3 linked regions of the Ovis aries genome follow. The protein of the gene in region 2 interacts with the protein of the main gene of each other region in a pairwise test. Links are inferred from orthologs where the notes say so. Each region holds a gene or a part of one and is shown on either strand. Other genes may lie near its edges.

Region 1 (3,220 bases), on a different chromosome or scaffold from region 2:
AATTCTTGTTTGGTAGATCGGAGCTGCTGCCTGGGAATCTGCATTTTAAAGCAAGTGCTCTGGATGATGCTAATGCAGGTGGTCTGAGTCCAGCTTTAAGAAACCCTGGTCGTCAGACTCACAGGTACCACAGAAATGGTGAGAAGTGGCTTTTATAAGACATGGTGAAAACTGTCCAAAGAAAAGCCATTTTGCTAGTTAAAAACAACTTATTTCAGTTATTTAGGAAACCATCTGAAGATAAATGTTAACTCTCCTAATTCTGTAAAAGGAGGAATATTAATTTAGTAAAGTAGTTAAAATACAAAAATGGAAATCTGCCTTTTTTTAAGATCTATCAAACTTCCACCAATTGTAATCAATTTTTACCAAGTAGTACAAGGTTTAAAGAAATACAGAATATTGAAAAGGATCGGGGAAGCCCAGACACATTGAGGAATCACAAAACCCCTTTCAATAGTCAAAAATAATTTTTTTTTAGCAAAAGTGAAAAATGTAAGCATATATTTTTCTAATTGTTTTGGAATTGAATGAGAAATGAAACAGCACTAGGTTTTTTAATTCAATAATTACCCTTTAAAGAGTTATTATTTAGTAATGTGGACTTTAAAAAACGTATTATATAGGTTGCTTCTGAAAAGCAAAATCAAGTCCTCTAATAAAGGCAGCAATGCATTAATCTGCTGGATGGAGATTTATATTTTAATTTATGCCTAGTATCTGTGATTAAAAAAAGAATTATCATTCATGGGCTACTCACAGTTGTTGTCTGATGCATACAGAAGGTGTCAAACAACCAATTGCTAGTTCAGCAGCTTCCTCATGACATTTAACATGAAGCAAAAAGTAGTCTGCATATTTAAACATCACCATTAACCAATACTTTTCAAAACGAAAAAGTTTCAATTATACCATGCTTTTCTCAAATCATGCGCTTATTTATACAGATCTCAAGTTCATTAGTTTTAAAAAGATCCAAAGTTGGGTGGCAGGTCCATTTTATTCTGATTCCTTTTTTATTGTTAGCATGTTTCCCAGAAGTCCATAAACTTCTCCGTTTGCACTGTGTGGGCGAGAAGCATTATTGCCCATATGGCTATTATAAGCGCTCCTTAAATTAAAGAAAGAAGCTTTAGTTTCTGCAGCAGGAAGTAACTCTTCTTTGATTGTAACCTGTGAGATACTTTCAGCAGATGAAGGCTCCCTCCAAATGTCCCTGTCCTGTGTTTCTCGACTGGTAACAGAATTGCCTCCTTTCTGGAGCATGTAATAGAGTATTGGGTTAGTTTTGGTCAGTCTTGGAGAGTCTTTCTCATACTCATTCTTGTCCACATCTGTTATCACCCACTTAATGGGTCCTTTCTCACTGGGCATGGAACACCCGTTCACAAGCCCAGCTTCTGGTCTAGACCCTGTGCAGCCCAAGTGCTCAGGGAAAGGAGGACTCAGGGCGGCCCTTCCGACACCTGGGTATGGAAAGGTCCTGCTGTCCATGCAACCGCCGGGCTGAGTGGCACCGTACATCAGTCCGTTTAGAGAAGCAATGCTGAATTCAGGCTTGCTGTTGGTCACACTGCTTCTGTGTCCTTTCTTTTTACTGTCAGCCACAGAGTTACTCCTGTGCTGAGACAAATCTCTCACGCAGTTTTCTGAGAGAAGCAGCTGTTTCAGGACGTTGAAGCTTTTGCTCTCTCTGGTCCAATTCCTGGGTTCACTTTCGCTGGCTGAACCGTGACTGGCAGGATGTTTAAATTCAAGATCACTTCTGCTAAGTTTCAGCTCTTGCTGGTTAAGCAAGGACCCGTACAGCACCTCCGGAGCACTGTGACTGTTTGCAGCATCGACTGTGTTACTTTTTGTCTTTTTAAAGGGGTTTTCTAATGGCTCGCTGTAAAGCTTCCTTTTCTTAGGGACCATGCAAAGGTTCTTCGATTCTACAAGTGTCAGTTCACTGTTCCTGTGACTGCTGTCCAGCTCATCAGCCAGGTGACTGTCTTGATTTTGTCTCAGCAATCGGCTTAGCAGACCGTTCTTTGAGAAAGAAAAATCCTGAGGTGAGCCAGGCTCTGGATTCAAGTCCTCAGATGCTGGTAAGGCAGGTGCGCTTCTCTGCATGGGAGGGGCCGTCCCTAAGAAGGGGGCACCCGGAGCCTCGTGGCTCAAGTGCATGCCCGCGCCATGCGGATGCAAGTCATCACAAGGCTCAGATTTTATTTTCACCATCAGTATTTGTTCACTTAAAGCTCTATCTGTATGTTCCTGAGTGCTCTCATCTCTTAAGGGCATCTTCTCTTTCTTTTCAGTCTTCCCTTTGTTGGGATTTCCCAGCAGTAACTGGAGGACGGTGCGCCTTTCAAGCAGATTTTCTATTTCAGACCCAGAGAGTCCTGGTTCAGGACCTATTGTGTGACTGCTGAATGCTTTCTTCTCTTCAACTGCACTTGTTTTATTGGCTAGCAGAGGGCTATTCAGTCTATCAATCATACCTGGAGGTTTATCTGTGTTTACACTCAGCAGCTGTTTACTGGGTCTCTGCTCTTCCCCTGACACGGAAGACTGCATTCCACATTGCGCTAAATTTTGTAACAGTTTACTGGCACTGAACGTGGCCGAGTTTTGTGCACCTTCATTGTGGATGGCTTTCTCCCCCTGCGATTCTTTGCTTTTTGTAAGGTCCATCAGGTGGCTCGAGGCGGTATTCGCTGGCTTTTCGGGCTGGGGGCCACAGGCATATGGTGGGGAATTCCATTTGATGACCAGAGAGTGTTGGGAAAGGTTGATGGGAGAGTCGGCTTTGGTGGATGCAAGCAGTGGTGGAGTGCTCACGGGAGTAGTCCTGTTGGTGCTGGGGCTCTCTATTACAGACGTCCGGGTGTAATTCTGTGTGCTGAACTTTGTCTCATCGCTGTGTGCTTCCTGAGGGCTGCTGTTTCTTTCCATGTTTTCTTCATTCTTATGGCCAAGCAGCAACTGAAGAAGGGTTACCTTCTGGTGCGAATTTAGCTTAGAATTCTTTGAGGTATCTTGATCTTCTTTGACGTCAACTTCGGGGACTTTTGGATCCCAAGTGTTTAGCAAGGACTGAGTTAAGTTATCCAGAGAAACAGGCTGGTCGGGTTCGGGTTTTTCTATCCTGTGTTTGCAAGACAAGTCTATGGGCACACAGCTGGAGTAAGAACTTTCATCACCACTGCTCTCATCGGTGAAGCTAGGATTGGGA
Region 2 (3,654 bases):
GACTGTAGGCATCATTGTCAGTTGTTACACTAGTGTTCCCATTTCCCTCTGTCTTTTCACGCATGCACACATCTGCGTATACACACATATATGCACACGTACCATCTTAGAACAAAATTCTTGCTCTATGTGCTTTCCATCGGTCTATCATGTTTCTGACTCCTGCATATACATTTTTTCCACTTCTAGAAAGTTAACGGAGTGACAGGCATGAGTCATCCCAAGTAACCCACAATATAGTCTACCTTCTTGTCACAGCTTTAACTGTGAACATGTACCAGAACTTCATCCTGGGACTTTTCAAGGCCTCAGGTGGACGGTCATCCAGCCCATCTGAGCATTTCAGTGGCTAGAGTTCTCTAATTCATGCAGCAGCCTATTCTGGTGTCAGACCATTTGACCTGGAGAAAGTTCTTCCTAAAGCGGGGCCCAAATCTGCCTCCTGCAACTTGTTTCTGTTCACCCCAGCTCTGTCTTCCAGAGTTACAGAGACTAAGTCAACGCCCCTGCCGTGGGACAGCATGCAAACACTTGAAGATATTACCGCGCCCTAAATCTCCTCTCACCTAGACTCCATGTCTTCAGGTCCTCACACTGTCCCCAGTTTGACCTGGCTCTCAGCATGTCCCACATACCACAGAAGGGGACGGGAACACTCACCACACTTCACCATTCCGACCTCATAGCACTTCCGCAGTCGACAGGCCTGACAGCTTTTACGTCGGTTCTTATCTATGGTACACTGATTTGTAGCTGGACAAATATAATCATTATGTCCTACAACAGAGAAAAAAAAGGGGAGGTTTATTGTTATAATATTTTGGATAATTCTCTTTTTTGGTCAACAACACAGCTAAAGCCACCCAGCTGAGAGATAGGAAAACAGCTTCTAGCTACAGGAACAGGTGTAAAAATGAAGTGCCGTCTCATCAGTGCCTCATCAGTGAGTAAAGGAAATCTAGGAATGTTTTGATATCCTACATCTTGACCTGTAGGTTATTCTCTGCATCTTCTTAGAATTCTCGAGAAATATATTTAGAAATACTCTTCTTTGGACATGGAAAGTGAGACAGTCACCTGAAATTGATTCGCTCCAAGTCACAAAACTCCTCAAGAGTAGTACTTGGTGTCCGGTCAGCAAACTAAACTCCTTGTACTCTTTTGCATACACTTTCGGGGGGGGATTTAACATGCCTTTTTAGTGGGAATTCATAGCTAACTAAGAGACCTACACTGGTCAATAAGAGAATATAAAAAAATCAGCAAACTAAACAAGGAAAGAAAGAAGTACTACTTGATAATCACCAGATTTTAAAGACCACTGCAAAAAGACAGAGCTCCATGATTGAACTATGATGAACTTTATAATCCTCTCTCCTTTCAGGTAGATTCCAGATTCCAGTAACATTTGTTCAACAAAACATAAACTGAACTTCAGTTGTTTGTGACTTGCCAGTCACGCCCTGAGTTGGCTTGGCACCCGAGAGATGCAAAAACCACTCTCTCAAGTGACACTCCATCCTGGCCACGTACAGGAAGCAATGTCTTCTTTGCCTGACACATCAACACTTCTGACCTCCTACTGATTTCCAGGTTCTTTTCATGAGCACCTCATTTACTCATATAACTTCCCTATAAAGAGCTATGATCCCAATTTTACAAATGAAAACACTTAAGCTCAGTTCAATAATCTTAAAGTTATTGCTTTTTCATTTTGCATAATAAATTCCTTTAAAAGCCTAAAATAAAACAAATTTATTATCTCATAGTTCCCATGAATAGAGAGTTCAAGGAAAAGTTTACTCTATTCAGGGTCCCAACAAAGCTGCAACCAATGTGTTGACGGGGCTGTGGCCTCATCTGAGGTTCAGGGTCCTCTTCCAAGCTCATTCAAGTTGTTGACAGAATTAATTCCTTGCAGTTATGGGAGTGAGGTCCCCATTTTCTTGCTAGTTATAGTCTGGACACTGCTCCTAGCTCCTAGAGGCACTTGCCCAGAAGCACTTGACAACAGGATGTCTGTTTTCTTCCAGGGTAGGAGGAGTGCATCTCCCCACTGCTCTCCCCAGACTGCTATGATGGAGTCTCACGTAACCACAGCATAATCACGAGAGGCGATCCCATCACCATTTGCCATAAAATGTAACCTAACTAACACAGTCACCCATTATATACACAGGTTCTATACACATTCAAGAATAGGGGGTAATATAAGACATGCTATAAAACATTTTTATTTATGTTTTATGTTTATGGCAATTCCCTCATAGCTCAGTCGGTAAAGAATCTGTCTGCAATGCAGGAGACCCAGGTTCGATTCCTGGGTCAGGAAGATCCTCTGGAGAAGGAAATGGCAATCCACTCCAGTATTCTTGCCTGGAAAATCCCATGGACAGAAGAGCTTAGCGGGCTATAGTCCATAGGGTCGCAAGAGTCGGACACGACTTAGCGACTAAACCACCACCACCATAAAACATTTTAAGGGATATATAATTTGTTATTGGTTTTATACTCACTCATATTCAAAACTAAATTTTAAAAACCAAATATATTTCTAATCAGATTTTCTATTGTAGTTTTGAACATAATGCTTTACAGTTAGAAGGTAAATGTAATGCCACAATACTTTCCATAGCAGGAGCAATCTTTTACATATCTTCTAAAGCCTCAAAGAACAGTACATGATGTTATCCTCACTGATTTTATGAGGTTTACAACAATAAGTATTTAAGGAACAACTAGAGGTTGGTCGCAGAGGACAGGCGCCGCCGAGAGGAACTGCCCCAAGCCCTAGAAAAGGCAGAGGAACCAGAGATCAAATTACCAACATCTGCTGAATCATCGAAAAAGCAAGAGTTCCAGAAAAACATCTATTTCTGCTTTATTGACTATGCCAAAGCCTTTGACTGTGTGGATCACAATAAACTGTGGAAAATTCTGAAAGAGATAAGAATACCAGACCACCTGACCTGCCTCTTGAGAAACCTATATGCAGGTCATGAAGCAACAGTTAGAACTGGACATGGAATAATAGACTGGTTCCAAATTGGGAAAGGAGTACGTCAAGGCTGTATACTGTCACCCTGCTTATTTAACTTCTATGCAGAGTACATCATGAGAAACACTGGGCTGGAGGAAGCACAATCTGGAATCAAGATTACCAGGAGAAATATCAATAACCTCAGAGATGCAGATGATACCACCCTTACGGCAGAAAGTGAAGAGGAACTAAAGAGCCTCTTGATGGGTAAGAGGAGAGTGAAAAAGTTGGCTTAAAGCTCAACATTCAGAAAATGAAGATCATGGCATCTGGTCCCATCACTTCATGGGAAATAGATGAGGAAACAGTGGACACAGTGGCGGACTTTGTTTTTCTGGGCTCCAAAATCACTGTAGATGGTGATTGCAGCCATGAAATTAAAAGACGCTTATTCCTTGGAAGGAAAATTATGACCAACCTAGACAGCATATTCAAAAGCAGAGACATCACTTTGCCAACAAAGCTCTGTCTAGTCAAGGCTATGGTTTTTCCAGTGGTCATATATGGATGTGAGAGTTGGACTATAAAGATAGCTGAGTGCCAAAGAACTGATGCTTTTGAACTGTGGTGCTGGAGAAGACTCTTGAGAGTCCCTTGGACTGCAAGGAGATCCA
Region 3 (3,654 bases), on a different chromosome or scaffold from region 2:
CTTTATGTCCACTTTTTCCCATTGAACCACCTTTATTCTTGGTCCTTTCTGCTGATTATGTAAGGTTTTGGTTCTAAAATGCAAATAAAATCTTCACAAAAGAAGGAATCATTTGAGATGTCGCCTTCTAGGAATCTATAAGGCATTGTCCTCAGACTTCTTTTCCCAAAGTTATTTTTTATTCCTGAGGGCTATGCTTCTTGGCTCACTTATTCTCCACTTATGGATTCAAAGACAGTATTTCTCCAAATACAGTTTGACATGTAAAAAAGTAAATGGAAATTAGCATTTGTAAAAAGAACTTCAGTGCCCTCATTTTATTTTCAGTGTGTGTATCAGCTTCTATTTAGCTCCTACTATTTATTAAACTGACTTACGTTGGAGAGACAGTTTAATTCACTGGGTTTCCCAAAGAAGCGAGCCTGGAGGGTGCAGCATGGTGTGTGAAGTCAATGGATTGAAGTGATTTTAAATCCTTCTTTCTTAAGGAATTGAACCCTAGAACTTTATATTTTACTTCTGTTGAAGGAATAAAAAGGCTATCTTCAATGCTGGTATTTTCAACAAAACCAAGTCTTTAAAAAAATTAATCTGTGCTAAAAGAAAAAAAGTGAATCTTAAATGCTTCATTCACAAATCCAGTGAAATGTTCATTATGCCTGCATGAGAGCCCAGTACTGGGTGGTCATCCGTGTGCTGTTGATGGAGTTGTCCTCATTTCATCTGAATGTGAGGCTGGCATAGACTTGGCCAGTTTCAGTGCATAGCGCAGTGCCTGTTAGAGTCTTAGTACAGTGATGCCTCATGCAAACCCTGAAGACTGAGGAGCTCCAGGTTCTCGATGCTTTGCTTTTTGCTTCCTGAAGCAGCGTGCCTCTTTGCTTATGCCAGAGAAGGAAGGGCCGCCCCTTACCCCCCTGGAAACGGGCATGCCTGAGCTATTTGTGCCACCTAGATGAGGATTGCTTGGCCATACCCTAAAGGTCACAAAGCTTTTCTTGCTGAAAGTCTAACTTCCCTGATTTTGGGGGCTCGTTTTAGGTTATCCTTCTCAACCAGTTGAACAGAGGCCACTTCAGCAGCTGCCTCCTCAGCTCGTGCAGCATGTGGCACCCCCAGCACAGCCGCCACCGCAGCAGCCGCAGCCACCTCCCAGCCAGCCGCAGTCTCAGCAGCAGCAGCAGCAGCAGCAGCAGCAGCAGATGATGATGATGCTCATGCTGCAGCAGGACCCCAAGCCCGCCAGGCTTCCGGTCCCCCAGAGTGCCCACCCCCCCAGGGGCCCGCTGACCCCGGACGCCCAGAGAGTGCCCGCGCAGCCGAGCGGCGGCGTGCCTGTCATGGTCAGCCTGCAAGGCCCTGCCTCAGTGCCCCCGTCACCTGACAAGCAGAGAATGCCAATGCCTGTGACTACTCCTCTGGGAAGCACTTCAAGGAAAATGATGTACCAGGAGAACCCCCAGAACCCTGCCAGCTCACCACTGGGGGAGATGTCCTCGCTCCCAGAAGCAAGTGGCAGTGAAGGACCGTCCGTCTCAGGAGGCCCAAATAATATGCCTCCACATTTAGTGGTCTCCCAGAATCAGTTAATGATGACAGGGCCAAAACCTGGACCATCACCGCTTTCAGCAACTCAAGGTGCAACTCCCCAGCAACCTCCTGTAAATTCCCTGCCCAGCTCTCATGGCCACCACTTTCCAAATGTGGCTGCTCCCACCCAAACATCTAGGCCTAAAACACCCAACAGAGCCAGCCCCAGACCCTATTATCCCCAGACACCCAACAACCGCCCTCCTAGCACGGAACCTTCAGAAATCAGTCTATCACCGGAAAGACTCAATGCCTCCATAGCAGGACTCTTCCCCCCACAGATTAATATTCCTTTACCTCCCAGGCCAAATTTAAACAGGGGCTTTGATCAACAGGGCCTAAATCCGACAACTTTGAAGGCCATCGGGCAAGCACCTTCAAACCTTACCATGAATAATCCTTCCAATTTTGCTGCCCCACAGACTCACAAATTAGATTCTGTGGTGGTGAATTCTGGAAAGCAGTCTAATTCTGGAGCACCAAAACGGGCAAGTCCAAGCAACAGCCGCAGGTCTAGTCCTGGGTCAAGTAGGAAAACCACCCCAAGTCCTGGGAGACAGAATTCGAAAGCCCCTAAACTTACACTTGCCTCTCAAACAAATGCAACGTTGTTGCAAAATGTAGAGCTGCCAAGAAATGTATTGGTTAGTCCTACTCCTTTGGCCAATCCGCCTGTACCTGGGAGCTTCCCTAACAACAGTGGGCTGAATCCTCAGAATCCTACCATGCCTGTGGCCACGATAGGGGGTGTTCTGGAGGATAACAAGGAGAGCTTGAATATGCCACAGGACAGTGATTGCCAGAATTCCCAGGTTAGGAAGGAGCAGATAAACATTGAGCTAAAAGCAGTCCCTCCCCAAGAAGTGAAAATGGTTGTCCCTGAAGATCAATGCAAAAAGGATGGGCAGCCTTTGGATCCTAACAAACCTCCCAATGTCGAAGAGAACAAAAATTTGGTGTCTCCTGCTATGAGGGAAGCACCAACATCGCTAAGTCAACTTCTTGACAACTCTGGAGCTCCTAACGTGACTATTAAACCCCCCGGGCTTACAGATCTGGAAGTAACACCTCCAGGAGTGTCTGGAGAGGACCCAAAAAAAGCATCTGTCATTCCCTCCCTGCAGGATCCGTCTTCTAAAGAACCCTCCAGTTCCCTAAATTTACCTCACAGTAACGAGCCGTGTTCAACCCTTGTGCATCCAGAATTGAGTGAGGTCAGTTCTAATGTCACCCCAAGCATCCCTCAAGTAATGTCAAGACCTGTCAGCTCTTCCTCCATTTCCACTCCTTTGCCCCCAAATCAGATAACTGTTTTCGTGACTTCCAATCCCATTACAACTTCAGCGAACACATCAGCAGCTCTGCCAACTCACCTGCAGTCTGCATTAATGTCAACAGTTGTCACAATGCCCAATGTGGGTAACAAGGTTATGGTTTCTGAGGGACAGTCAGCTGCTCAGTCAAATGCCCGGCCTCAGTTCATTACGCCTGTCTTTATCAATTCATCCTCAATAATTCAGGTTATGAAAGGATCACAGCCAAGCACAATTCCTGCAGCCCCGCTGACAACCAACTCTGGCTTGATGCCTCCCTCTGTTGCAGTCGTTGGCCCTTTACACATACCTCAGAATATAAAATTTTCTTCTGCTCCTGTGCTGCCTAATGCCCCCACCAGTAGTCCTGCTCCAAACATACAGACAGGTCGACCCTTGGTCCTTAACTCAAGAGCCACCCCTGTTCAGCTTCCTTCCCCGCCTTGTACAACTTCTCCAGTTGTTCCTCCTCACCCCCCTGTCCAGCAAGTAAAAGAACTGAATCCAGATGAGACTAGCCCTCAGGTGAGCACCTCAGCAGATCAAAGCACTCTGCCCTCTTCACAGACAACCACAGTGGTTTCTCCCCTTTTGACCAATAGTCCAGGCTCCTCTGTCAACCGGCGAAGCCCAGTCTCATCTAGTAAGGGCAAAGGAAAAGTGGACAAAATCGGCCAGATTTTGCTGACCAAGGCATGTAAAAAAGTTACAGGCTCCCTCGAGAAAGGGGAAGAGCAGTATGGTGCCGATG

What was found. The genes of interacting proteins can lie anywhere in the genome.
Region 1: the proteins of ESR2 (region 2) and NRIP1 interact in a two-hybrid assay, tested with the Homo sapiens proteins (2 studies listed by BioGRID, with this or other methods). The link is inferred for Ovis aries from reciprocal best matches to the Homo sapiens genes ESR2 and NRIP1.
Region 3: the proteins of ESR2 (region 2) and NCOA6 interact in a two-hybrid assay, tested with the Homo sapiens proteins (3 studies listed by BioGRID). The link is inferred for Ovis aries from reciprocal best matches to the Homo sapiens genes ESR2 and NCOA6.

The regions. Positions count from the first base shown.
Region 1 is NC_056054.1:143,016,135-143,019,354, reverse strand, and holds part of NRIP1 (nuclear receptor-interacting protein 1), read right to left. Parts: coding exon 1,000-3,220; 3' UTR 1-999. UniProt on the Homo sapiens protein: Modulates transcriptional activation by steroid receptors such as NR3C1, NR3C2 and ESR1. Also modulates transcriptional repression by nuclear hormone receptors.
Region 2 is NC_056060.1:74,522,361-74,526,014, forward strand, and holds part of ESR2 (estrogen receptor beta), read right to left. Parts: intron 778-3,654; coding exon 661-777; intron 1-660.
Region 3 is NC_056066.1:64,069,276-64,072,929, reverse strand, and holds part of NCOA6 (nuclear receptor coactivator 6), read left to right. Parts: intron 1-1,041; coding exon 1,042-3,654. UniProt on the Homo sapiens protein: Nuclear receptor coactivator that directly binds nuclear receptors and stimulates the transcriptional activities in a hormone-dependent fashion. Coactivates expression in an agonist- and AF2-dependent manner.